Oryctolagus cuniculus: one gene and its partners. The protein of the gene in region 6 purifies or fractionates together with the protein of the main gene of each other region. This does not show direct contact. Links are inferred from orthologs where the notes say so. Each region holds a gene or a part of one and is shown on either strand. Other genes may lie near its edges. The genes, in order: ZMYND8, DEK, CCNL1, NIFK, GPATCH2, CSNK2A2 and PIP4K2A.

The links.
Region 1: the proteins of CSNK2A2 (region 6) and ZMYND8 purify together in Homo sapiens (affinity purification with mass spectrometry; 6 studies listed by BioGRID and IntAct, counting the BioPlex papers as one, with this or other methods). This does not show direct contact. The link is inferred for Oryctolagus cuniculus from reciprocal best matches to the Homo sapiens genes CSNK2A2 and ZMYND8.
Region 2: the proteins of CSNK2A2 (region 6) and DEK purify together in Homo sapiens (affinity purification with mass spectrometry; 4 studies listed by BioGRID and IntAct, with this or other methods). This does not show direct contact. The link is inferred for Oryctolagus cuniculus from reciprocal best matches to the Homo sapiens genes CSNK2A2 and DEK.
Region 3: the proteins of CSNK2A2 (region 6) and CCNL1 purify together in Homo sapiens (affinity purification with mass spectrometry; 4 studies listed by BioGRID and IntAct, with this or other methods). This does not show direct contact. The link is inferred for Oryctolagus cuniculus from reciprocal best matches to the Homo sapiens genes CSNK2A2 and CCNL1.
Region 4: the proteins of CSNK2A2 (region 6) and NIFK purify together in Homo sapiens (affinity purification with mass spectrometry; 3 studies listed by BioGRID and IntAct, with this or other methods). This does not show direct contact. The link is inferred for Oryctolagus cuniculus from reciprocal best matches to the Homo sapiens genes CSNK2A2 and NIFK.
Region 5: the proteins of CSNK2A2 (region 6) and GPATCH2 purify together in Homo sapiens (affinity purification with mass spectrometry; 6 studies listed by BioGRID and IntAct, counting the BioPlex papers as one, with this or other methods). This does not show direct contact. The link is inferred for Oryctolagus cuniculus from reciprocal best matches to the Homo sapiens genes CSNK2A2 and GPATCH2.
Region 7: the proteins of CSNK2A2 (region 6) and PIP4K2A purify together in Homo sapiens (affinity purification with mass spectrometry; 3 studies listed by BioGRID and IntAct, with this or other methods). This does not show direct contact. The link is inferred for Oryctolagus cuniculus from reciprocal best matches to the Homo sapiens genes CSNK2A2 and PIP4K2A.

What each region holds. Positions count from the first base shown.
Region 1 is NC_091442.1:12,513,258-12,516,908, reverse strand, and holds part of ZMYND8 (MYND-type zinc finger-containing chromatin reader ZMYND8), read right to left. Parts: intron 222-3,651; coding exon 1-221. UniProt on the Homo sapiens protein: Chromatin reader that recognizes dual histone modifications such as histone H3.1 dimethylated at 'Lys-36' and histone H4 acetylated at 'Lys-16' (H3.1K36me2-H4K16ac) and histone H3 methylated at 'Lys-4' and histone H4 acetylated at 'Lys-14' (H3K4me1-H3K14ac).
Region 2 is NC_091436.1:145,447,125-145,451,350, forward strand, and holds the start of DEK (protein DEK), read right to left. Parts: upstream 2,860-4,226; 5' UTR 2,672-2,859; intron 2,346-2,671; 5' UTR 2,337-2,345; coding exon 2,192-2,336; intron 1-2,191. UniProt on the Homo sapiens protein: Involved in chromatin organization.
Region 3 is NC_091435.1:123,685,925-123,688,823, reverse strand, and holds the end of CCNL1 (cyclin-L1), read right to left. Parts: exon of another isoform or gene 2,888-2,899; coding exon 2,788-2,887; intron 2,682-2,787; coding exon 2,577-2,681; intron 2,482-2,576; coding exon 2,340-2,481; intron 2,248-2,339; coding exon 2,136-2,247; intron 2,038-2,135; coding exon 1,939-2,037; intron 1,302-1,938; coding exon 953-1,301; 3' UTR 513-952; downstream 1-512. UniProt on the Homo sapiens protein: Involved in pre-mRNA splicing. Functions in association with cyclin-dependent kinases (CDKs). Inhibited by the CDK-specific inhibitor CDKN1A/p21. May play a role in the regulation of RNA polymerase II (pol II).
Region 4 is NC_091434.1:128,335,496-128,339,813, reverse strand, and holds the start of NIFK (MKI67 FHA domain-interacting nucleolar phosphoprotein), read right to left. Parts: upstream 2,927-4,318; 5' UTR 2,811-2,926; coding exon 2,706-2,810; intron 2,099-2,705; coding exon 1,961-2,098; intron 1-1,960.
Region 5 is NC_091444.1:31,838,061-31,841,711, forward strand, and holds part of GPATCH2 (G patch domain-containing protein 2), read right to left. Parts: intron 523-3,651; coding exon 340-522; intron 1-339. UniProt on the Homo sapiens protein: Enhances the ATPase activity of DHX15 in vitro.
Region 6 is NC_091449.1:41,552,325-41,556,589, forward strand, and holds the start of CSNK2A2 (casein kinase II subunit alpha'), read right to left. Parts: upstream 2,906-4,265; 5' UTR 2,760-2,905; coding exon 2,656-2,759; intron 1,902-2,655; coding exon 1,790-1,901; intron 1-1,789.
Region 7 is NC_091444.1:48,947,063-48,951,240, forward strand, and holds the start of PIP4K2A (phosphatidylinositol 5-phosphate 4-kinase type-2 alpha), read right to left. Parts: upstream 2,951-4,178; 5' UTR 2,668-2,950; coding exon 2,524-2,667; intron 1-2,523. UniProt on the Homo sapiens protein: Catalyzes the phosphorylation of phosphatidylinositol 5-phosphate (PtdIns5P) on the fourth hydroxyl of the myo-inositol ring, to form phosphatidylinositol 4,5-bisphosphate (PtdIns(4,5)P2). Has both ATP- and GTP-dependent kinase activities.

The DNA of each region.
Region 1 (3,651 bases), on a different chromosome or scaffold from region 6:
CTGCACGGCCGGGGCAGTCTCCTTCGGCAAAAGCGGCCTCTGCTTTTTCACCGGGCTTCCTGCAGCGGCGGTGGCCGGGGCCGTGACCGTGACCGTGGACGTCGCGCTGGTGGCGGCTGTGACACCAGCCGCGGGAGTTTGGGAGGAGGAGCGGGTGAGCACCGGCGTTTCCGGGGGAGACTGGCTGCCCGCCGCGGCAGACGGTGGCACTTTCCCTACAACTGAGACCGACACATGGGGAGAAAGGTAAATGGCCACGGGACAGCAGCCGGCGGTGACACCGGCGAGCTCCAGGGGAAGCAAGCAAGCAGGAACACTCTCACCGCCCTCCCCCGGGGCCAAAGCGGTGGGGGAACGGAATCACTGGACGGCTGGCAAAGTCAGAGCGCGGTGTAGAGGGGGCTGGCTGGGCCCTGCTCGCGGCACCCATCCCACATCAGTATGGGCCCAGCTGCCCAGCTGCCCGGCTTCTGGTCCAACCCCCTGCTAACGCACCCGAAAAGCAGCACTGGCTCCAGTCCCTGGGCCCCTGCCACCCACGGGGGAGACCTGGATGGAGTCCCTGGCTCTTTGCTTCTGCCTGGACCAGCCCTGGCCGTTGTGGCCAATTTTGGAGCAAACCAGAGGATGGAAGATCAATCTTTCCAACTCTGCCTTTCAAATAAATTAAATAAATCTTTAAAAAGAAAAAGAAAAGAGCAATGTGTTGTAAGCACCTTGAGAAGCAGCCCGCCACATCAACTCTGCAGCAGCCCCTTTGGTGAGGGGCCTACAAACATGGACCCTGAAGGACCCATGGGGGCCGGCACTGTGGCATAGTGGGCTAAGCCTCTGCCTGCGGTGCCAGCATCCCACATGGGCACTGGTTTGAGTCCCGGCTGCTCTTCCTATCCAGCTCTCTGCTGTGGCCTGGGAAAGCAGTGGAGGATGGCCCAAGTCCTTGGGCCCCTGCACCCAAGTGGGAGACCTGGAAGAAGCTCCTGGCTCCCGGCTTTGGATTGGCACAGCTCAGGCCACTACGGCCATTTGGGGAGTGAACCAGCAGATGGAAGACCTCTTTCTATATATCTCTCTCTGTAACTCTACCTCTTAAATAAATAAATAAAATATTTTTTTTAAAAAGAAAGGTATTTAAAGCAATATTGTAGGGAATACAGCTTTTAAAAAAAAAGTGAGTTCGTTAATTTACGAAATATTATAAAAATAAGGACCCACAGCTGCCTAACAGCCAGGCACCAACCACGCTGAGCAGCCCCACATGGAAGGTGCCCCTCTGTCTCTGCTGGCTCCCTCCAGGTCAAAGTCTCCGCGTAGTGTGGACAGCCTCGACCCCCAGCCCCGAGAGGAACCCGTGGGGTTCTCGCCAGAAGTCAGGAGCACGGCTTGGGTGCTGGCTGTGGTTTTCCACAGCAGCCCGGCAAAGCTGGTTCTGCCAATGCGCAGTGGGCGCACGCTGAAGTCTAACGTGAGTCTGACTTCTGCTTCAAGGACTGCACATTGAGGTCGAGAATTATCAGGCAGGGCCTGAGAGCGGTGACCGAGAGCGACTCGGGGTGACAGGCACTGGCGGACGGAGGGCGACTCCTCGCAGGAGCTGGGGGGATTCCACAGGCAGAGTGAGGATCTGGGGGGGACGCGTCTGGGATAGGGGAGGACTTGGTGAGGACTGGCTGGGAGGCAGGGGCGAGCCAGAGCAGGTGGCCACGAGGGTGCTCCTTTACTGAGTGGTCGGTCCTCTCTGCAGAGGTCTCGGCCACATGAGGTGAACTGGCCCCCAGGCAACACACATGCGGGCCAGCACCCCGATCGCGCACGGGCCGTGACACCAGACGCCTTCGGCGAGGAATATGCCCGTCCTCTTAGAGTTACTCCACCCGGCAAGACTGGAGTTGGATTCGTCTCGGGAGGACCCGGGCAGCTGTGGGTTTCAGGAAGCCAAGGGGAGCGAGGGAAAGAGACAAGCTGACTCCTGCGCCTTGGGGGCTGCTTCCAGGGTCCACCTGCTGCCCCAGAGAGGCAGGTGCAGCCAACCTGGTGGGCAAGAGTCTGGGACAAGGGGGCCTCCTCGGGTCCTTCTGGGTGACCTGCCAGATAGTAGACACAGTCCCCACCTGCCTGCGTGTACACAAGAGGCGTTAGGCTGGGTGCCTCCAAGAGCCAGGCACCACACAGTGCCTGCCAGGGCTGCTAACCTGCAGAGACACCTTCACTGCCTCCCTTTTCAGCCATGAGACCAAAACATGCGTTGCGACTGCTGACCACAAAAAGGTCACTTCTCTCCTGACTTACACAAAGTTCCAGCTGGTTTTCTTCTTTAAAAAAAAAAAAAAAAGAGTGCAGAGGGCTCAGTGGTGAACACGCCCACATCCTACATCCAGTGACTCAGCCGAAGTCCCTGCTCCATTTCCCATCCAGCTTCCTACAAACACACACCCTGACAGGCAGCAGGTGATGGCTCAAGTATTTGGGTTCCTGCCACCCACATCGGGGACCTGGACTCAGTAACAGGCTCGTGCCTTCAGCCTGGCCCAGCCCCAGCTGTTGTGAGCTAGTGGGTAAAACTGTCGCCTGCAGCACTGGAATCCCATATGGGCGCCGGTTTGAGCCCCGGCTGCTCCACTTCCAATCCAGCTCTCTGCTAATGGCCTGGGAAAGCAGCAGAGGATGACCCAAGTCCCTGGGCCCCTGCACCCACGCGGAAGACCCAGATGAAGCCCCTGGGTCCTGGTTTTGGCCTGGCCCAACCCTGGCCAATGTGGCAACTGGAGAGTGACCCAGCAGGTGGAAGATCTCAATCTCTCCCTCTTTCTCTCTGTAGCTCTGCCTTTCAAATAAATAAATCTTTAAAAAAATGTACAATCTGAAAAGATGTCAGGCTTGAAATACCATGTGGGGTCATCACTTAGATTTTAATACATTAACTTCAATGGGAATTCTGATAGTTTACCAAGCCCCCCCCCAAAAAAAAAAACAAACAAAAACAAAACAAAAGAAAACAAAAACAAAGAGGGTACAGGAACTTTACCCTAGAAATTCAGAGCATATAAAACCAAACACTTAATGCCCCAAAAAGGGTGCATTTCTTAGGCTCTCACAATGGGTCACCATCAGATTGACCTGATCATTCCAGAATCTGTCACTGGTCTCTGGCACATGGAGGAAAGACTTTAAAAAAAAAAAAAAAAAAGAACTAGCGCCCCCTTGGGGGAAGGATGGGACTTGCTGATGTGATGGTGAGCCTGGGCAGGAAGCCTGCGGGAGGCCCTGTCCCCGCACGCTGAGACGGCCTCCCTGGCCACACACACTGCTCTCCTAGCTCCAAGGCCAGCACAGCCCCGCCCGTTAATAAGCTCCGAAGCGAGAGCTGGTGGCGGAGAGGACACTCTGTGGGGTGACCTGAAGCCAGCTCTCCAGGAGCCAAACCCTGGCGACCTGCTCAGACGGACTCGTGAATTACCATCGGCCTTGCGCAGCAGTGCAAGGAAGAACTCCAGTTCTCACCAGCGGAGACGCCTTTATGTGGGGCACCGCACGAGCTCGCTTCATGGCTAGGAGCTCAGACCCAAAACGGAAGCCCAGCCCCCCGATTCTGAAGCCGGAACAGGGCGCGCCGGCAGCATAGCTCTCGCCAGGCCCTTCTGCCCGCCTGCC
Region 2 (4,226 bases), on a different chromosome or scaffold from region 6:
CCAAATAAAATGTTTTTTAAAAGGAAACAAAGTTAGATAAATAAGACTCCCATAGGCATACTGCTGAAGATCCTCTCATTCATAAGAAGATGCCTGTTTTGTACAAAGAAGCATTTGAAATTAGGAAGGGGTAATTAAGACACTTTTGAAAAAGATCTCATCAACTTGGAAAATGAGACAGATATTATACTCTAATGTAAAGATGAAAAAACACCGTAAGAAACAAATGAAAGTTCTGATTTGATGTTATTTGTAGACTAGTGAAAAAGGATCAAAACACTGGTGCTGGCTTTGAAGGACAGGTAATTTTTGGCGTTGTAAGGATTTGCACAAAAACAATGTCAGGAGAAAATACCAACAGGTGTATACTGCAAATGGTGTACAGAATGAAGGGCAATCTCTACAAAAGAACAAGCAACCCCATTTATCACTCATCATCCTCTCTAGGATTTAAACCATCCACTTCCTTCTGATTGTCATCCAGGAACCAAGGACTTCCTAGTCTACCTCCAGGCAGAGCTTCACTCTTAGATTCCTATCAGCTAATATATGCCTGCGGGCCACCTGAACAGCTCCACCTCATGTCCTACAGGCACCCAAATTCAACACATCCCAAACAGAAATCATCTCTAGACTTGCCCACCTGAAAGAATTTTGTTGCAGAAAACAGTAATACCAGCCACAAAATTGACAAAGAAACCCACGAGTCATCTTTTGCTAGTCATTTCTCTCAAACCTCCCACTCCACACACAACCACTGCCAATTTGAGCTTTAACAGACTTCATTAATTTCACTGCCTTGCTTCCAAGATGCCTCAGTACTAAACACCCATGGCTAAGCATAATAAAACTTTCACAATTCTAGTTGTCCCACAAACATCTCAAATGAGATGAAACATAACTGTAAAATGGTTACGGGATAAACTTAACAAAATCCTGTTTAAATACAGCACAATTTATTCACCTACAACAGAACACAGAGTTCTGTGAACTACCCCCAGTGCCTCAAGCTCTTCTGTGTTGGCCACTCGTATTTATCTGCCTTCTCCAATTTTCTTCCTGACAAAATTCACCATCCCAGCTCTGGTCCCCCAACCGAAAAGAAAAAAATTAAAGTGCTAAGAGAGTAGCTAGTAGCAAGATACTGCAACCAATTTGCATTTCCTTTATAATTTGTACTATTAAGCAACAGGGCACACTAAGTTATAATTAAAAGCCGTGCTGTACTTAAATATGAACAGCCTCCTTTCTCAGGGCACACACCACTGTAAACAGACAAAAGGCCTACCACTCAATGTTCCACGGACTATGTTTACAAAGACCCTGACAGTTAAACCTGGCTTTGGGAAGAGAACACAACCTCTTCCCAAGTTGGGGTGAGCTGCAGCCATTAAAAAAAAATAATAATAAAAAAATAAAACACACCCTACACCGGGCTAACAGCAAAGAACTCGGATTTCTACAGCTGGCAACATCAGCAAGAGGCACGGCAGCCAGCACCTTGGATAAGCGGACACAATTCCTTCCTCTGGGCCTCCAGTGACGCCGTGGTTAACATCGCTCCCCGGGGCTGCAGACTCAGCACCAAAACCGAGACAGCTCTGGGTTCATTTTTAACTTCCTTTCAGAGTGCACTCGTTTCTTGTTTAACTTTCTCGAGTAGCAACAGCTTTCGCTGCTGGCCACAAAGGAACCGAGCTGCAAGTTCAGCAATAAACAAGAGTTTAACATCTTTCTTCCAGGACCAACATGCATAGCTTCTCAAGTCTAAACGAGCGGCCGAACGAGACCTCGGAGTAAGCGCAACAGGCCAAAGACACACGTGCAACGCCATCAGCCAAACTGCAAGAGTCCTCAGAAAGGGGAGCGCAAAGACACCGACCCGGAGCCTCGCAAACTTGTCAAACCGCGCGAGGAGCCGAGCGGCCGAGAAGTGCGCTACGCACGTCCAAACGCGCGCCTAACCACTGAGAACCATTTACACGACTCCAACGTGTCAAAACCCGCCAAGTCCTAAAGCCAACTACGCCGCTGCTCCACACAAAAACCGACTTCGCATGCACCCTGGCTGGAAAAAAAAAATCACTCCAGTTCATCGTTCCCGAGGTCCAGAACAGCAAAGACAACTGCTTCCTAGGGAAGGGGGCCAAAAACGGAAACCAGCACTTGGGTCTGCAAAAGCCATAGCCACCTTTCTCCTCCTCTTCATCCTCCTCTTCGTCGTCTTCGTCCTCCTCCTCGCTCTCCTCTCTCGGGCCGGGCATGTCGGGCTCCTTCTCGGACGCGGGCTGGGCGGTGGTGCCCTCTCCCTCCGCAGCGGGAGCCGACGAAGACATACTGAGGACCTGCGGGCGGGCACAGGTCGGCCGTCTCGGTCCTCTGGCTCCAGCCGCGAGGACCGGGCGGCCACCGCCAGCCCGGGGGTGGGGTCTCCTTTCGCGGCCGGGACCGCGGCGCTCCGTGCCCGGGGGCGACTTCCCGCCCGCCGTCCGGGGACTCCCCGAGGCGGGAACCCGAGCAGCCCGCCCGCCCGCCGCGCGGCCTGCGCCGCCTCCGGCCCGAGCCGCCCGCCACCCGCCCCGCGTCCCCTCCCCCGCCCCAGGCCGCCGTCCCGATGGCCGCGTCCCTCCCCCGTCGGCCTCGGCCTCCCGTCCCCCGCCGCGGCCCTCACCGCGGGGTCCCGGCCGCCGCGGGCCTGGCGCGCGAGCTACAAGGAGGCTCCGGGAGGCTCCGGAGGCCCACAGTGAGGCGAAGGCGTGCGGGCCGCGGTCTGGCGTGACGCTCGCGCCGCCCGCTCCGCTTCCCCGAATCAACAAGACTTTCAAAATGGCGGTTCGGGAAGGAGAGCGGGAATGCGGCGGCCAATCAGGGCGGCGAGCCGGAGTTGGCGGGCGCGCGGCGGCGGGGCGGGGCGGGGCGGGGCGGCGCGGGCGCCTCCGCGGGAAGCCGGGGCGGGGCGCGAGGGGGCTCCGGCCGCGGGCGAGGGCGAGCTCCTGGCGCTGTCACCCGAGGGCCGGCCCGCCGCGGCCGCGGCTGCGGCGACGGGCGGCGAGCCGGCGGGAACGGGAGGACGCTAGGGGGCCTGCGTGTTTATTGTCTCGGCGGGTCGTTCCCGGAAAGGACGCGGAGCGGCCCTGGGCCGGGAGGGGGCGGCTGAGGGGAGGACCCTTGGGAGCCCCCCGGAGTCGCTGCCGACGTGTGGGACAGGGGTGGAGGGGGCTACTTGTGTCCCAGAGCTCGTGCTGGGGAAGACTCGCCACGGAGGGACCTCATCGCTCGTAAGATGCCGCGAGCGAGAACGCCCTTAAGGTTCACACCGCCAGGGGCGTAAATAAATCCACATATTTATACACCAGTAAATGCAGACCAAGTAGTCTCTCTCCCTCTCTCTCTCTCTCATTTTAATTACATTTGCCTGGAATGGACTCTTAGACATATGCTTTGGATCTTCTCTGTACCTTTTTGTGCCCCTAACCAAAACATAAGAAATCCTGTCATTTTTTTATAAGATTTATTTATTTAGTTGAAAGAGTTCTGGGAGGCAGAGAGAGAGGTCTTCCATTAGCTGGTTCACAACCCCCAGTGGCTGAAACGGCAGGAGCTGAGCTGATCCGAAGCCAGGAGCCTCTTCCGGGTCTCCCACAGGGGTGCAGGGGCCCAAGGACTTGGGCCATCTTCTGCTTTCCCAGGCCGCAGCAGAGAGCTGGATCAGAAGTGGAGCAGGGGCCCGTGCTGTGGCGGAGCCCATAAAGCTGCCTCCTGCAGTGCTTGCACTGGTTCAAGTCCCAGCTGCTCCAGCAAAATTGGTCCAGCTCCAGCCTTTGTGGCCATTTGGGGTGTGAACCAGTGGATGGAAAATAATCTCTCTCTCTCTCCCTCTCTCTGCCTCTCTGTCATTCTTTCAAATAAATAAATAAATCTTAAAAAAAAAAAAAAAAAAGTGAAACAGCCAGGACTCAAACCAGTGACCGGATGGGATACAGGCACTTGCAGGCCAGGGCATTAACCTGTTGCACCACAGCACCAGCTCTTTCTACCCCTCTCTTCTTTTGTTTGCTTCTGGGGCCTGCTGCCTCTCCACTCCCGCACAGCAGCCAAGGTGATCTTTTAAAAAAGAGAACAGATTGGGCACTCTCTTGTTTAAAATTCTCTAATGGCTGTTCATCATACTCAGAATCAAATCGAAAATCTTTCTGACAATCTGACACTTTGTTTCAGCCACACAA
Region 3 (2,899 bases), on a different chromosome or scaffold from region 6:
CATTTCCTTGATACCACTTGGGATAGCCACATCCCATACTGGAGTGCCAGTTCAAGTCCTGGCTACTTCACTTCTGATACAATTCTCTGCTAATGCACCTGGGAAAGCAGTGGATGACAGCCCAAGTACTTGGGAGACGTGGATGTACTTCTAGGCTCCTGGCTTCAGCCTGGCCTAGGGTCATTTTGATAATCTGGGGAGTCAATCAGCAGATGGAAGATCTGTCTCTTCCTGTCACAGTGCATAAATCTGTTCAGGACACTTCCCTTTGGAAACAGTACTTCAGTGTTGTAGCATTTAACATTATATTGCTGGGCCACTGCCATTTGCTTCATCCATAAACACAGTGAAGACTTACAAATAGCTCACAATACAGATAAAAATCACATTTTTAATCATCTCAAACTACATCTAATGGAGTACAGAAAAGTTCATCAGAAAATCAGGACAGCCAATTTTACTATTAAACTTTTGCTTTTTAATAATTTATTTAAATAAGATATTTGAAGCAGTTTAGAAAAACAAGATTTGTATTTTATTTCCTTGTAAAAATCTTTACACATGCAGACAAACCAGTGTTAAGAAAGTATTCACCATCATTTAAACAAATAACCACTTAAATAGAACAGTGTCTGCAATTTTATCTGTATAAAAATAAGATACATTTTTACAGAATTCACGCTCCAGTTCTTGTAGCAATAAACAATACACAACTATAATAAAGTACAATTGAACCTGACCATGGTTTTCAATTTAGATACTGCTAGGGCATTTTAATGTGCAAAAAAATTTAACATAGTTCTTTCCAAAAGAAATGTCCTCAGTGTTTCTAGAGACCTAGAGAGTTTTAAAAAAATCAAATCCTAATTGGTTTGCTTTTAATGATGAGTCCATACATCACGCTGTAGATAGCCAAAGCCAGGAACTGATGCAGGCTCAAAGGAAGCAAAAGTCAACGCCTGTGCCTGCCATGTCCTGAGCGACTGCTACCATGGTGCTTGCCTTTATGAGATCTCTCAAAGGAGCGAGACCTTTCCCGCCTGTCCCTATGATGTCCCCTTTCATGCCTGTGTTTCTTGGCAGCATCTGAGTGATCCCGAGACTTGCTCTGAGATCGAGAACGAGATTTTTTCCTTTTGTGACCATGTCTATTTGAACTTTTTAAATCATCTCTGGTATGCTTGGCCTTAAGGTGAGGAGAACCATGATTATGATGTCTTCGAGGGCTTTCACTGTGACTGCGGGACCTGCTTCTTGATCTCGAGCTGTATGTTCCAGATCGACTCCGCCTATTATTGTAACTTAGATAATAAAAATTGGAGGTTTAGATTCAGTCTCTATGGGCAACATATTATATTGATGGCTGCTTCTAAAAGATTCTAAACAAAACTACCAACTCCATTAGTTACAAGCCAAAATGGTAATTTTTCTAAACCTCCCCACCCCTCACTTCTCCCACCCAAGCCTAAAATAGAGAATCTTAAACAAATGTATCCAATGTCTATATTCCAAGGAGGGAAATAATAATTGCAAAGAACTAGTCTTTTTACTGATTCTCACATGTTCAAAAGAACCCCTGAAGAGGAAGAGCCACAGGACCTAGCGACGTAATTACAAAAGCTAACTACTGATTCTTCAGCTATGGTTAACTTGATTATTGGTTACTTATAAGAAACTTCCTATCTGAAACGGAACAGAAAGGCAATGTTTTTACAATATAAACAAGGTAATTCCATAGCATTTTGTGGGCAGCCCTTATTTCTTCAACAAACATGAGAAATTAAAATGCCATTAAGGTAAAATACCATAAAACAGAAAGTACACATCACCCTACCCCCCTCGGCCTCACAAGATCATTTCAAATCCAATTCTAGACTAAGAGATCGCTGATGCAACCTGCTTTTAAGAACTGCTTTTCCTAAGAAAACATTGACTTACTGTCTTCGTGGAGTGTGCGATCTAGACCGTGATCGTGTTCTTGACCTTGATCGACTTGCACTTCTGCTATTTCTACTTCTTTTGCTGTCTTTTCTTACCCTTCAAAAAAAATAAATAAATATTTCAGTTATATTCTTCAGTGTTACAAAGTATGCACAAGATTCTTCAGGCTAGTTTTCTAATCTACATACACTCACCCATTGTAAGGGCTTTTGGAAGCCTGTTGTCTATCCTCAGGTTCTTTTTTGACTGTCTTCACATTAACAGAAATTGGTGACTTTTCTTCAGCTTTTATTTCTCTTGGGGATGCTTAAAAGACAACGAGAGTGACATGTTTACTTCTATACATAAATGCTAAAACTTTCATTGTCCCCAATTCATTAAGTCCCAATGTATCTTACATGGTTTAGAAGCTGGAGAAAATCCACCAAGGGTTGAAAGGGCTGGAGTTCCATCAGGGTTTAATCCTTTTGCTTTCAGTTTGGCTTCTTGTAAAGCTACTTTTCTTTTTTCAACTTCTTTTTCCAACAATTCATAGTTTGGCTGTTGGAGGACAATGAATTATTATTTCTCCTCTGCAGTAATTTAGATTCTTGGCACCAAGGCTATCAGCACAAACTTGAGCAAACAGAAATTACCTTTTTTCTGGTATAAAGCCGAAGCGTTTCTATGCAAATTTCTTGGATCTCCTCTTCCGTAGTACCAAAAAGAAGAAACCAATGGGGACGAGTTGGCAGTGGAATCTAAACCACAAAAATAGAATGCTTTGAGTTTTCCCTGGTTTTTATTGGAACCACTGATAATACCTGTGATTTGTCCTATAGAACTAAATAGGCTATCTACACTTACCTGAAGTGCTCTAGCTGCAAGGTAGATGCATGCACATGCTATAGTCTCTGGTTGAAATCGAACAAAAACATTGGTTCGAAGACTGTCATTCATATAATTCCTGAAAGATATG
Region 4 (4,318 bases), on a different chromosome or scaffold from region 6:
TAGAAAAAATGATGCTGAAATTAATTTGGAAATACAGGAGACCTTTAATAGCTAAAGCAATCTTATACAACAAAAACAAAGGCAGAGGCATCACAATACCAGATTTCAAGACATACTACAAGGCAGTTACAATCAAAACAGCTTGGTACTGGTACAAAAACAAAGGGATAGACAAATGAACAGAACAGAAACACCAAAATCAATCCAAGCATCTACAACCAGCTTATATTTGACCAAGGAGCTAAAAGCAATCTCTGGAGCAAGGACAGTCTCTTCAACAAATGGTGATGGGAAAACTGGATTTCGACATGCAGAAGGATGAAGCAAAACCCCTACTTCACACCTTACACAAAAAACCATTCAATATGGATTAAAGATCTAAATCTACAACCTGATACCATCAAATTAAAGAACACTGGGGAAACCCTGCAAGACACTGGCACAGGCAAAGAGTTCATGGAAAAGACACCCTGAGGCACAGGCAATCAAAGCCAAAATTCACAAATGAAATTACATCAAATTGAGAAGCTTCTGTATTGCCAAAGAAACACTCAGGGAAGTGAAGAGGCAACCGAAAGAATGGGAGAAATTATTTGCAAACTATGCAACTGATAAAAAGGATTAATAACCACAATCTACAAAGAGATCAAAAAACTCCACCACAACAAACCAACCAACCCAGTTAAGAAATGGGCAAAAGACATTTTTCAAAAGAGGAAATCCAAATGGCCAACAGACACAAGAAAAAATGTTCAGGATCATTAGCTGTCAGGGAAATGCAAATCAAAACCACAATGAAGATTCACCTCACCCCAATTAGAATGCCTTTCACACAGAAATCAACAAACAACAAGTGCTGGTGAGTATATAGGAAAAAAGGTGTCCTAGTCCACTGTTGGTAGGAATGTAAACTAGTAAAACCACTATGGACAACAATTTGGAAACACCTCAGAAATCTGAATATAGATGTACCACATGACCCAGCCATCCCACTCCTGGGAATTTACCCAAGGGAAATGAAATGAGCAAATAAGAGTTATTTGTACCACCATGTTTACTGCAGCTCAATTCACAATAGCTAAGGCATGGAATCAACCCCAATGCCCATCAACTGAAGACTGGATAAAGAAATTATGGATATGTACTCTATGTAATACTACACAGTGGTCCGTATGAAAAAAAGAAAAAAAATCTGGTCATTTGTAAATTAGTGCAATAAGCCAGTCCCAAAGGGACAACTACCATATGTTCTCCCTGATCTGTGATACTTCATGGGACATTTTTTCCCCCTCTTCTTCATATTACTTGTTGAACTCTATGTTAATCATATGTGTATAAAGTCAACTAAAAATAGAAAAAGAAAAAAGAAAAACAAAAAAGGTCTTCAAGGAGCCTAAACTCTCCTTATGGTCAAGACAAGAAAGATCTGAAACAAGAATATCATCAAGCTGGCACTTGATACAGCTGAGAGGTAGACAGCTGGGTAGTCAGTAAAATTTCTTCTAGGAGACTCCAAAATGCCTAAGGAAGCAGCTTAATCTCTAACTGAACACTCATAGGAAGCTGATGCTACTTTACCCACATTTTGCAGATTACAAAACTGCAGCATGAGTATGCTAGCTCCAGAGTCCTTTGCCTTCACTATAAATCTTGGCTATTACTGATGTCTCTAACAGAGGCTAAAACAAGTGTGAATCTGGTTCTCAAACTGAAGTTCATTTACCCCTGGTAAATGAACATGATTCATTTGCCAGGACTGCCAATTTAACTTGTGAACTTGGGGCAAGTACTTCTGGTACACAAACATTTAAAATTCTAATTTTGCTCTAGAGGCTGTTTGTTTCAAAACCTCAGCCAGCCCCCTTTCCAGAGGGAAGTCTAAGGAGCAGAATGCGAGCACTTTGCATAAAACTGTCAAGGATGACGCGTTCGGAAGACACAACAGGGGATTCTGACTTACCCTTTTGCTTCTGGACAGTCGGAATCTTGTAACAGTGCCAAACTGGGAGAAATACTCTTGAATCTGGGTTTCATAGAGTGTTGGAGGTAGGTGGCCCACATAGATTACTCCAGGAGTAAGGGTTTCTTGCTTTTTTTTCTGAAGACATACAAACCCGATAAATCCTCTTTAATAAGACAATTGCATGGCAACAAAACTTGCAAAACCCCTAGCGCTGGGTCCAAGAGCATACTGTTTCCGCTTAATCGTAGGCTTCTCCCCACAAGGACAGCGGCCAAGCAGCCCACGTGGGCCAGCGTAGATAAGCAAGGACACGAGAACTTTGCACACCGGCACCCTTCAACTTGCAGGCAGATCGCCGGCTACCTGCGTCTAATCCGACAGTTCTTGAGACGCCCACCGACCCTCAGCGTCATCGCCCCCGTACCTTCCCTAAGCAACACTTTTAAGTTTCCCACATTGGATTTAATGCTGAAGACCCAAGAAAACACAAATTCAACGTCAGGGGACCTAGCTGGTGAGCAATGTCTCCCAAGAACCCCCAAATCCCTGGGGCCCCCCATCAGCACCAGCAAATCGGAAGCAATGGCGCTAACTGGGTCCCTAAGCGGCCCGGTAGCGCTGTTCCCTGGCTCGGTCTCCGCCTCCTCGCGCGTCGCCACGTGAAGACCTGGAACCCACGCCTACAGCACCGAACTTTCCGCCTCGGATCCCTCCTCTCCCAGAGGAGGCAGAGGTCGCTCACCTGGGTGACGCGCTTGCGGACTTGCTCCACCTCCTTTCGAAACTGTGCGTCTTTCTCCGGGTTGAGAGACAGAATGGGGGCCGCGGGTCTGGAGAAGTCCGCCATGCCGGAGGTGCGCAGGCTGACCCACGCGGCGCTCCCGGAAATGCCGAGCCTTCGGTGCGGAAGTAAGGCGGAAGGGGCGTGGTGAGAGCTGGGCAAAGGTCGCGGCGCGGGGGCGTGCCCGTGGGGGCGTGGCCTTGGGCGCAAAGGGGCCCCTGCGCCGTTGCTGCTTTCTTGACCATCTCAGCCTGTTTTCTCTTTCTTTTCTTTTCTTTTCTTTTCTTTTCTTTTCTTTTCTTTTCTTTTCTTTTCTTTTCTTTTCTTTTCTTTTCTTTTCTTTTCTTTTCTTTTCTTTCCTTTTCTTTTCTTTTCTCTTTTCTTTTCTTTCTTTCTTTCTTTTCTTTTCTTTTCTTTTCAAGATTTATTTATTTGAGTTACACACAGAGAGATGGAGAGGCAGAGAGAGAGGGAGAGAGAGGTCTTCCATCCGCTGGCTCACTCTCCAATTGGCCGCAACAAATGGAGCTGTGCTGATCTGAAGCCAGGAGCCAGGAACTTCTTCCAGGTCTCACTCACAGGTGCAGGGCCCCAAACTTTTGGGCCATCTTCTGCTTTCCCAGGCCGTAACAGAGCTAGATCAGAAGTGGAGCAGCTGGGACTTGAACCAGCGCCCATATGGGATGCCAGTACTGCAGTCGGGGCTTTACCCGGGCCTCTCCACAGCGCCGCCTCCCGCTCAGACTTTTTTCTATCAACCCGGGTATCTGAGGGGTCCGTGGGCGGAGGCCCTGCAGAATACGCCCCTGGGCCTTCCAGCCCAGCTGCACCCCCAGTCCCCCCCCCCCCTGCTCCGTGGCCCGCGCAGCTCCTCCTTTTCCGGGGGTAGGGCATGCATCCTGGTACCCTCTTCCTCTGGCCCCTAACCCCTTTCAGGCAGGGGAGAAGGAAATTCTCGAGTGACCTGAGAGAAGTATCTAGAACCTTAAAAATAAGGCCTATTGGGCAGGTTGGTTAGCTTGGTCTTGCGGACAAGACCCCCACGTCTCGCCTCAGAGTGCCTGGTTTCAGTACTGGCCTCTGTTCCAGACTACATCTTCCTGCTAAAGGAGACCCTGGGAGGCAGGGGGACTGGCTCATTTGAACCGATTCTATCCACCTGCGTGGGAGACCGGGATTGGTTTCCTGGCCCAAAGTTGCAGTTCAAGCCTGGGGTGGGATGGAGGAATTGCAGGCATCTGGGGGAATGAATCAGCATATGTGAGGGAACTCTCTGTCTCACAAGTAGACAAAAACAGGATCTATGAAGGAAAAGGATCTTGCTTGTATTCCATATTGGAGTGTTGAGTCCTCCATACTGTGTTTCCTAACCAGCTCCCTGCTAATGCACCTAAGGAAGGCAGATGATGGCCCAAGGGTTTGGATCCCTGCCACCCACATGGGAGACACAGATGGAGTTTGGGGGTCCTGGCTTTGACCTGGAACAGTCTTGTCTGTTGTGGGCATTTTGGGGGAATGGATCAGCAGGTGGAGGAGCTCTTACCTTTCACATCAATCAATAAATTAATCTTAAG
Region 5 (3,651 bases), on a different chromosome or scaffold from region 6:
TTCACACCTAAAAGAATGAAGCAAATGCCTAGCAGGGTTCCAATGCAGTCATCACTTTACTTTCTAGTCTCTTAAGCCCTAGAGTAACATGTAGGTAACTTTTTTTTCTCAATTCACTTTCCTATCTTTGCAACATTTTCACAATGGGCCTAGCACAAAAGCAATTCAATATTTTCTCATCATTTGAAGGCATGATAAATATAGCTGAATTAGTGCCCACATGTTTGTGTTTAATATCCAGTTTATGTTTAATTTCCATTTTAGCCTCTCCTCTTCCAATGAACTTTCCTAGATTGACCAAAAATCCTTTGTACCCACTAATTAGACAGTGCTACTTACCTCTTCGGCTTGAATGCGACATAAGGGGGAAAGAACCAGTTAAGATACTTTCAAAGACGGGATCTGGTAAATTTTTATCTAGTTCTGCAGGATCTTCCTTTTCCCACCAGGGAATGACTCCAGTGATGCCACATGCTCCCCCTGACTCCTTTTCATAGAACCAGTCACTCTGCTCATCATCACCTGTGAAGACAGAAGGCCCCTGGACTAAAAATTCAGTCTTATCACCCAAATACACAATTAGGGCTATTATATAATAAAAAATATAAGATGGCAGTTAAATCTGGATTTCAGGTAAAAGATTAACTTTTAATGCGAGTATGTTGTCTTGTACTATATTTTTAATATAAATATATCTAAACACTGCATGGGACACATTTATACTACAAGATTATGTCTTATTTATCTACATTTCAAATTCAACTGGTGATCCTGTATTCTATCAACTATATATATATATAATATAGTATATATATAGTGTATATATGTATATATATATTTTATACATACATACACATGTATATATATACTATATATTAGAATACAGGATTGTATTCTATCAACTATATATATATAGTGTATATATGTATATATACATTTTATACATACATATATACATGTATACATATATATACACACTACATATATATGATAGAATACAAGATCACCTGTTAAACATATATATATATTATCTATAAAGAAAGCTTTTTACACTATACCACAGCTGAAATAAATGTTCTCTAATATTACAATAAGCATTGCCATCAACAAAAACACAAAATGTTATATTTTAGAACCAATTAAAATGCAAAGTTAATCCTTTGGCAATAACTATAGGGAAATCCATTTAAGGTACTACCCATTCTACATTAAAAGAAAATGTGCCTTAATCTCCTACTGGGAATTAAAAGGTATAAAACTGTGGAACCTGTTCTTTAAGGCTGATAATGGTATATAATTAGCTTAATTCCATGATTTCTATGGAGTATAAAGGGGGAAATAGTCATTAACAGATGTGAATAAATGAAATTAATCTAATTAAGTTCATTAAGAAATAGCTTTGAAAAACTTGATTTTAAATGAAAAATGACAATACACAGAGTTTATAAAGAAAATATAACAAACTATTGTAAGTGAGGTGTTTTTAAAACACAACACTATTCATTAATTTTGATTTTTGGGAACATCCATGAATAACCGTGAGACAATTTTAAAGGTCAATTTAAAATCCAGTATGAAGTGGTCTTTAGTGATTATCAATATTTTTTAAAAAAAGGAAAATAAAGAGCTGTATAAATGGAAAATAAGGCAGAAGGCTTTTCAAAATAATATACAATTAGCACTTTGAATATGATCTGAGATTCATTAAAGTCTTCCTGCTGTGATTTTTTTTAATAATTAATTTTATTTATTTGAATGGTAGAGTTACAGAGAGAGAGACAGACAGACAGAGAGAAAGGCAGAGAGAGTCTTCTAACTGCTAGTTCACTCCCTAAATGGCTGCAATAGTTAGGGCTGGGCCAGTCCGAACCCTGGAACTTAGAACTCCATCTAGGTCTCCAATGTGAGTTAAAGGGGCCCAAGCACTTGTAACATTGTCTGCTGCTTTCCCAGGCCCATTAGCAGGGAGCTAGATCAGAAGTGGAACAGCCAGCACTTAAACTGGTGCTTATATGGAATGGCAGCGTCGCAGGTAGAAGCTTCTTAACCTGTTATGCCACAGCATCAGCCCTTTTCTTTTGATTCTTAGAAGGTACCACCAATTCTGGGTTCTAAGAGAGTCATCATAGTTACCAAACACTTTTTCTCTTTAAACAAAGTTTTCTTATCTTGAAACTCTCTTACTATAATCATTTTTAAGGGCAAAGTTAAAAAAATAAAAACCTAAAGATTCAATAGAAAAAATGATTTTATGAAAAATAGTTGTATTTTAAATGAAAAGGAAATGACAAAAGCATTTAGAAAACTAGAATCAATAGCACATTTCAACTGAGGAATAAAATCTTAATTTCATAAAAAGTAGAATTCATAGAACTTAATATTAATACTTATACTGTGTTATATTTAAAGTATCACAAATCAGATTTGAGCACAAGAAAATAAAGAAAGTAACTTGAAACTGAATACCCTAGATTAAATTCCTACTGAGACATTATTAAGAAAAAAGGAAGCTATTTTACTATTGATGTGATAATTTTATTCTTTTTTAAAAGATATTTATTTATTTGAAAGGCAGAGTTACAGAGCGATAGAGGGAGAGACAGAGAGAGAAAGAGATCTTCCATCTGCTGGTTCATTCCCCAAATGGCCGCAATGGTTAGGGCTGGACCAGGCCAAAGCCAGGAGCCTGGTATTCCATCTAGGTCTCCCACATGGTGGTAGGGGCCCAACCACTTGGGCTATCTTCCACTGCTCTCTTAGGTGCTTTAGCAGGGAGCTGGATCAGAAGTGGGGCAGCCAGAACTCCAACCGATGACCACACAAGATGCTTGGTCAGAAGCAGTGGCTTAACCTACTGTGCCACAATGTAGGCCTTGTAACTTTGTTCTTAACAGAGAAATCAAACCGCTGTTCATGAAGAACTTGAATATGCAGTTAGACAAATTAAAACTCTAGTGTTTTGCAGTAATGGAGAATTTACGTCAACTCTATTAGCATAGGTTTTCTTACTTTAAAAATTGGGAATCTCACGGTTTTTAAAGAATTAAATAGGAACTTAGAGCAAGTTAAATGCAAGAAAAGCACTTGGCACTATGAAACACAGTAAGCTCACAATAAATGCTAGTACATCATTCTAAACCACTCAGTGCTTTTCAGAGATTGAGAGTTGGTCAAAAATTATTTTTTTAAAAAGTTTTTTCATTTCATGTCATTACCAGTATCAACATTTATAATATATTGGGAATAAAGGCCTTTTTTTTTATTAGAATTTAGGGATGTTATCAAAGTGGTTAAGCTTACTTAAGTATGTTGCCAGATTCTAGCATATATAAGTAAAGTCACAACTTCTAAAAGACTACAAACTTTAAAATAGTTACATACATATTTATCTACAATATGGTTTATAGATAAGCAAAAAAAGAATGATTATTTACATTACTCTCACTGGAAGAGTAAAATATTCTCAGTTTATATATTTTGTAACACAATTATACTTTAAACTATACACACAAACATACACACACACACACACACATACACACACGTATATATAGTTTATTTCCTTTGAACTTACTATTGTCCTGTAAGGTATTATTAAGAAATGAAGATAACATTTGGAATAAGTATTTATATGTATTAGCTCAATTTCAT
Region 6 (4,265 bases):
AGGGCTTTGGAAAGCATACAGAAGGAGTGTAGTGTTCAGCCCTGGAAGCAAGGTGGTTCACGCCGCACCGTGAAAAGAAGCAACAAGAAACGCTTCATCAACTGGACACCAGAGGGGCCTGCGGAGCTCATTCCAGAACACTGGAACTTACTCTGGGCGCAACATGAAGATCCCGCAATCCAGCGCCGAAGAAAGCTGAGAGGGAAAAGCAGGGAGCAGCAGTGCTGGTGGTGAGCTGGCTGAGTTTCTTTGTGCCTGGGCCTCTCCTTTGTAAAAACCACCTGTGGCAGTCTTCATATTGAGTTCCCTAAAACATCCCAGCACGCTTCAGAGAACAGGAAAAACTCTCTAGTCACCAGGAAGTGCTGTGCAAGGATGACCCAGGAGCAACGCGATGCTCTCCTGGACAGACAGGCATTCACACACACACCTGAACGCTGCGCCGTTCAAAGAGGACACAGGAAATGGCACTTACTCTAACAATGCTGCTGTTGCACCAAAGTTTAGACATTTTTCTGGAACTGCCTCAGAGTCAGCACTCATTCTTCCAGACAGACAGCTGGGGAATACGGCTATTTCTAATTCCAACTTCAGCTCTGCTTCAAGTCAAAGCAGCCTGCAGTAAAGCATTTTGCTTATGTACACAGAGGAATTACATGGCCTCCCCAGGTGACTGCCTTGAAGGAACACCATTTCTTCACATATTTATGCTTGTTGGGGTGGGGGGAGGCCCTGGGACTTCACTGGTGGCTCATATTCAGGGGAGGGGGCGCCAGTCTGCAAATCCCTAACACCCGTCCCTCACTTCATGTGCCCAGCGTCTGACGGCACAGCGGCCTCTGCCGCTTTCTCTCTACCAGAATCCTGCTCCTCCATCACCGGCTAGGACAGCACTGAGCGAGGCTGCTGGGCACGGTTCTGAGAGGCGGCTCCCAGAAAGCCTGAGCCCGGCCTGAGAGGACAGGGCCTCCCCGCACAGCCTGACATGCACAGGCAGCTTCTGAGCCCCACAGCCCCCGCCACAGACCCTCTCCAAACACACGTTCAGGGATCTGGCGATAATGAAGACCCATGACAGCTTCTAAGAACAACTTTGCAGGACACCCAGTAAAACATTATTAAAGCCACACAGTTACCTGAAGCCAACTCTTCAGGCTCATTACGTCTTCACTCAAGAGATAACAGAAGGCCTATCATCAAACTTAAGATTGCGAAAGCAGACATCAGACAGTTTTGTTCCAACAGCTTGAGTGATTAAAAGTGCCTTCTAACTCCAGTTTTACTAGCTGATAAGCAGCTCCAGGGCTCCCAGCACTCCCTGCGCCCCTCAGCTGTCCCACCTGAAACTTCACTGTCAGAGGAGAAACAAGTGGTTATCACCCCGAGGAGTTTCCTTCCCCTTGGCTCCAATTTTCTCCAACTTTCTTTGTGGACTAACAAACACAGCGCTCAAAGAGCCCTCGGATCCATGGAATCTCCATGAAAAGGCTTTTCTTCCCTCTGAATATTTATTTATTTTGTAACAAATGGGGCCCTTTTGGGATTTTTGCTTTGGGAACCTCTAATTTACATTTTAGAACAAGGGTGTTCCTGATCCGTTCTGCTTAGATTTAAGGCCGGTCTGCGTGTTTTCTTAAGTCCAAGGAAAACGGGGTGGGATCCGGGCGTCCTGGACAGAAGAGACATAACGCAAGAGCCGGCACAGCTCGTTCTAGAAACGAGGCTCGGGTAACTCACGTCCTTTTGGCCTGTGGGGGAAAAAGTTACAAACCACTTATAGGAGACTCACCTTCAGAATTTTTACAACCACTCTCTCATTGTTGGTGATGTTAATGGCCTCAAATACTTCGCTATACTTTCCCCGACCAAGTTTTCGAACCAGCTGGTAATCATCTTGATTACTGTGAGAGGCAAAAGACACACATAAATGCTGGGCCTTGGGGTCCGCCGAGCCTATGCCCACGATACGCCCCGGCCGGCCACTTCCACGAACCAAGCGCTTGGAAGTGTCTATAATCCATGCTGCAACTCAGTCCCTATATGAAAGCTACAACACACACCAGGCTCCTGCTGCTCTGCAGGGCTCCCAACCTAACTGGTCCCTTGTAACTTGGGGGTAGACGCTCTGAGTCCATCATCCATCTCGCAGACCCTGGGAGCACTCCGCCCTGCCCGCGGTTCCACAGCACCTGCCCCCTATTTCACACCCCGAAGGTAGCCAGCGCCAGCTCTGAGAATCTGCACATCTTTCGAAAAAATCCCCCCCACCCCGCCTCGTGTCAGAAAACTAAAAAAGCAGCGCATTTTCATAGAAGACAGCTGTTGACTCCCCACCCCGAGAGAAACCCCCAGCCTGAGGGGCGGCTGCTGCCTCCCTTCCGCGCTAGGCCCTGGTCCCCCCCCCCCCCCGCCGGAGGGAAGGGGCAAGAGGGGTGCACAAAGCTGGGGGCGGGGGAGGAACGGCCGCGGGTGAGGGAAGAGGAAGAGGAGGACATGTGCGAGGTGGGGGCCTCTGCCGCCCAGCCCAGCCCTGCCCCGGCGAGCGGCCTGCGGGAGGCAGATCGCGGGGGCCGAGTGCGGTTTGCGCCGGGGGGCGGCCCGGCGGGGGTGGGGGTGAGAGGCCCCGGCGGGGGGCGGCGGCGGCGGCGGCTTTACCCCCAGCTCGGGACGTGAGCCTCGTAGTCCCAGTAATCGCGGCTCCTCAGGCTGTTCACTTCGGCGTAGACCCGGGCCCTGCTGCCCGCGGCCGGGCCGGGCATGGCGGGCGGGACCGGGGGGCGCCGCGGGGCGCAGAGGGCGGCGGCGGCGGCGCGGCGGGGGGCGCGGGGCGGCGGGCGAAGGAGGCGGCGGGCCGCGGGGCGCCGGAGGAGGAGGAGGAGCGCGGCGGCGGGCGGCCGCGCCAGGCCGGGCCCGCGGGGGCGGGCGGGCTGGGGGCGCGGGGGGCGCCGGCCGAGCCGGCCCGGCCCTGGAGCAGCCGGCGGGGCGGCGGGGCGGGCGGCGCTCGCGCTCCGCGGCGGCCTCCGCTCGGCTCGCGGCCCCCAGGCGGCGGCGGCGGCTGCGGCGACGGCGGCGGCGACGGCACCGGCAGCGGCAGCCACCGGCCGGGAAAGGGGCAGCGGCGAAGAAGGAGGAGGAGGAGGAGGAGGCGGAGGAAACCCGGAAAAGGGGCCGCGCTCACTAGGAGCGGCCGCCGCCCAGCCCGGGGCCGCCCAGGCTCACAGCGCCCCCTGCAGCGTGGGGGGACCCGCGGGGCGGTGCCGGCCCCGCCCCCCGCCCCGGCGCGCCGGTCGGGCTCTCCGCATCCTGGGGCTGGCCGGGTCTCTCCCGCAGGGCCACCCCGCCTGCCGTCGGCTGCCCTTGAGCCCTTGAGGACTGACCCCGAGACGCCCACCCCAAGACCGTCACCTCTGGTCATCCAGACCTTACCCACCCCAAGACCTCCCGCAGTACCCGGTCTTGATAGCCCTGTTACCCAACCGCTCTTCCCCAGTGACGCACTCTTCAACCGCAGAACCTCCCCCACCTCAAGATGTCCCCTCCCCTCGTGTGTGTGTGTGTGTGTGTGTGTGTGTGTGTGTGTGTGTGTGTTTTAATCCCTTTTCCCCGCTGTGGACCCTGCTCTGTCACTCGCAGACTCCTTGTCCTGAGACCCCATGCTCCTTCATCCCAAGTCTTCCCCACAAAACCCCTCTCCTACACCGTCCCCCACGTTCTCTTCCAGAGCCTTCTCTGAACGTCCACTTCGGTCACTTGGTTAAGCTGGGGTGGCCAGTCTGGCCTGTTTTGTGCCTTCTAGCCCTGAACTCTCTTCTCTCCTGCATCTTCTGGGTCTTCCTTGTGGCTGGCTCCCCCTTCTGCCCCACTCTTAGCGGCCCCTCACCCAGCCAGCCAGCTCTGACTCCCATCCTTTTTCATGCTGCTTCCTGGATAAGGCCCTTGATGGAGTTCAGCATTGTAGATTACCCTGCCGCCTGGGCATCCCGCATGAACTCTGGTTGGGGTCCTGGCTGCCTCTCTCTCTCTCTCTCTCTCTCTCTCTCTCTCTCTCTCCCCCTCCTTCCCTCCATCTCCTCCTGTCTGTGACTCTGCCTTTCAGATAAACTAAATCTTTAAGAAAAAAAGACCCAGGGCAAGCATTGCAGTGTGGAAGGTTAAGCCACCACCTGTAACACTGGCTTCTCGTTTGGGCACCAGTTTGAGTCCCAGCTACTCCACTTCCAATCCAGTTCCTTGCTAATGAGCCTGGGAAAGCAGCAGAAGGTGGC
Region 7 (4,178 bases), on a different chromosome or scaffold from region 6:
GATGAAATAAATGTGTAGTTTCTCTTTAGTGCTCCAAATCTGTCGTTATTTCCTAATATCCAGTGATAAGTTCACATGACTGTTCAAAGTACGGAACTACTATATTCATGACAAATCTTAATTCTGATCACATTAGAGATGTAGGAAAAGACATTTAAATTATCTATTCCTTTTCAGCTATACTTTCTCAAGGGTCCCATTCACATCCAGCACTATTTTTGCTCATTCTTAATATTGCTGACATCCTTATTCTCACATTAAACTGTAAACTTTGGGGCACAAGTCATATAAAACATGTATCTACTATCAGATATTATCTCCTAAAATTAAATCAACAAGAAGTACATGGTATCTAAGAGTTTAAATTTCATCCTTACATACACTCTGGTATTCTTCCCCAAAAAACCAGTATATTTAAAACAAATAGACATTTTGAAAAAGAAACTCATGGAAAAGATGCTTTTAATACGAAGGCAGATATCTCTGATATTTGGACATACATATGAGAGGGGTTTTAGCAATCTTTCCCACTGTGGCTGGCACTGCCTGTGCCCAATATAAATAATAGGCTTGTATCCTATGGAAACCTGGAAACCTCACTCCGCTGGCTATGTATACTCACTTCTCATGAAGACAAAAGTAACACCAAACTTACTACCTACAGATGATACATTATAAGCCTTAAGTAGTTTTGAAATATTTCCAATGCAAGAAACTATAAAACAAATGTAGCAAACCATAAAATCCAGTAACACATAAGCAGTCCCAGTAACACATGCACAGTTGCAAGATTTTCTAAAGTAAACTGGAATTCAGACTGATTCCTGGGGAGCACACTTTTTCGGCAGCACACTGTTGACACTACTTTACTAGATTAAACCTTGAAACAAACAATCTCCTGGCCAAAACACCAGAACTCTGAGAGATAAAAACACCCATAAATATGAGTAAGCACAAGGAGACATACATCCTATTCTGTAAATTACAGGTTTCTATCCCAGAAACTAACAACATAATTTTTTTTAAAAAGTGTTTAACAAAATTAGACATAGCTCTAAATTACAGATTTATTACATAGGAAACCATTCGTTTCATTTTCCCCATAAAATTTGGGGGAGTTTTTGGTGCAGCCATGCATGTATGCTGTTGCAACATCTTACAACTCTGATAGTTTTGTTTTTTTTTTTTTTTTTTTAAAGTGTATTTCAGTTAAAATGAACTTAAGCGGATCACACATTAAGCTGGTAGAAACAATTATTTCTCAACTTTGTTAAAAACAGCCACTCCACGCAATCAGCCCTGCTACTGTTTCACCTTTTCCCCCAACACCATCGGGGAATAGAAATCGGACAATGATGCTTCTGAGACATCTTAAACAACTTCGTGAAACCGAGAGTGCTCTCTCAAACACCAACGTGGTTTTCTGCCTTCTCCGTCACGGTGAAAAGGACACAATGACACCCGTGGACATCAAAAGCACGAAAAGCAAGTTTGCCTCTTTCCTCGGATGCCCACTGACTGCAGTGGGCAAGGTCACGGTCAAAATTCGCTGTCTTATTTCTACTTCCGCAGCTCTGCCAACAGCTCCTATCACATTTCCTGATCCCCATCTGAGTTGATTAAAACTGCAGGAGTTCCTCGCGGTAAGATCTGCAGGAGGCTGTTTCGGACCCTCGCACCGCAAACCGCATAGCCCGCGGGGGCGCATCTTCCACCGCCCGTGGCCGTACGCAAAGCTTCCCCAGGCGTTCTCCTGCAGCCTTTTAAACACAGCCCCTGCGCAGAGGCTGTCAGCTCAAGACCCCCCGTCCGCGCCCGCCGGGACCCCTCCAGCGGGCCCCGCCCGGACCGCCCTCCGCAGGCGGCGGCTTAGGGCCGGCTGCAGGAGGAGGTGAGCGGAGCGCACTCCCCGCCAATGGCTCCTCCGCCCGCGATGCGGGAGACGAGCGGCCCAAGATGCTGAACACCAGTGCAACACTTGCACTGGCTTCTAATTTGCCAAAAGGCCTCCTCGTGTCTAATAATACTTCCTTTAAAGAGGAGGGGGGGAGACCTAAGCTCTTAAGCTGTTGCCCCAAATCGTGCTCTCCCGACCGCCCGCAGGAGGTTCCGGACGCCCCCAACCTGGAACAGGTACACCTGCCTGGCGGCGGGGGGTACCGGAGCGGTGGCCTGGACTCGGCCCCCAGCAGCCGCTGACAGGCGAGGCGGAGCCGTGCCCCGCACAAACTTCCCACTTCCCAAGCTGCGGGGACCTCCCTGCGGGCGGGCGAGCGGACCGCGGGCAGCACCAGCACCGGCCGCAGGGCTCAAACGCAGACCGGACCCCTCGTGCCGCTCCGGGTCCGAAGGTCCAAAGGGGGCGCAAGTGGTCGGGAGGGGAGAGCGCGCGCCCCGGGGCCGGGGGCGCCGAAGTGGAGGGTGAGACCCAGCAGGTTCCGGCTGCCCGCCCCGCAGCAGCCGCGGCCGGAGGAGGAGGGGAACGAGGAGGAAGAGGACCGCGCGCCGCAGCCGAGCCCTTACCGAGTGGTTTACCCCCCACATCAGGACGCTGAGCAGCGGGTCGCTGGCCCGGAACAGCTTCACTTTCTGCGCTACGAAGTGCTTCTTCTTGGTCTTGGTCTTGCTCGCCAGCACAGAAGACCCCAGGTTTCCGGGGGTCGCCATGGCCGCCGCCTCCGTCCCCTCCACCGCCGCGCTCCCGAGGCCGGGGACCCGCCCTCTACACACCCGCCCGGGGAGGCAGCCGCATCCCCTCGGCGGCGGCCCCGGCGCGCCGTGCCCGCTTCCGCCTGCCGCCGCCGCCGCCGCCGGCGCACTCGGCCCCACTCGGCTCGCTCCGCCCGCTCGGCCCAGCTGCGGCGGGAGGCTGTGCCCGGCTCGCGCCCCGGCCCGGCTCCCGCGCCCGCCGCGGCTCCGCGCTCAGCCCGCGGCTGGACCAGGCGCGCCGCGAGCGGCTTCCGCGTTGGGCGCCGGCGTCATGACGCAGGGGGCGGGCGGGCAGCAGCTGCGGCGCCGCCAGGCGGGGCGCGGGGCGCGGCCGCCGGACCGTTAGGCTGCGCGCTCCGGCTCGGGCTCCGGCTGCGGCTCCTGCTTCCCGCGGCCCGGCTGCCCCGGTGCGCAGGAGAGCTCGGGGAGGCAGCTCCAGGCCACGCGGAAGAGGCCGCGGGGTGAGCGTTGGCTGCTGGGAGCGTGAGCACTCCGCTGGGCATCCCCTCTGCTCTCCAGAGAGCGGAGAGGAAGGGAGGCGCTGGGAGCGGGGAGGTGGCGGGGAGCCCCCAGAGGCCTGAGCCAGGGAAGCGAGGAGGCTCAGGGAGCCGCTGCTTAACGGTTCCGGGAGTCCCGGAGAGCTGGTGCACCCTGAACGCCGCATGCGGAGCCAGGCTCCCCAAGCGCCAAGTCGGAGCATCTTGGCACGTGGACGTCCACCTTGAAAAGTGCCCCTGAACCGAACTTAATCCGTATGCGCCTTCACCTTTTTGGCCCTTTGGGTTTGCTCTTTCCCAGACTCCCTGAGTCATTCGAGAGGGAGAATCGCACCTAATACTCTGCCCTGTCATTCCCTGCCCTCGCTGCTCCCCAGGCAGGACCCTGGATCGCTCTCCAGAGCCCTTGGTTTAGCCAGAAACACGGCCCCTAAATTGCACCTCCTTCTTGAAGTCCGTCAGCGCAGCGTGTTCCTCACCATCCCTACCCGCCCCCCCCGCCCCCCCCCCCGCCACAGTATCCTCACCTTCCTCCGTGGAAACCTGGTCGCCATCTCCATGGGTACCTACGTTTAGCTGTTATGCTAGGAGTGCCTGGCCCACCTCTGAGGCTACCAAGTACATCTAAAAGCCTGCTGTTTTGTAACTTCCCCAGTCATCTCATCGCATGCCAGGTACTCGCTCTCACTCAGCTCAGGGGTGACATTGTCGCCAATTATCAGTTTTACCCTGCCCCAATACAGGGCTGTGCTCTGTGCCCTTGGTGTACCCTGCTTGGTTCTGTTTGGGAGACAAAGGATGAGGGATTCCTTAAGGAGCTTCCGTGGGGTGGGGCGGCAGATCCTGGGATCACCCTCATGTGCTCTTCAGAGGGACGGCCCAGAGTTCTCTAGTTCTTTTCCACTTTCTTTTTACTACCATCAAAAATGATACCTGCTCCCCCGGCATCAACCATCGCCACTTTTAGTGGTT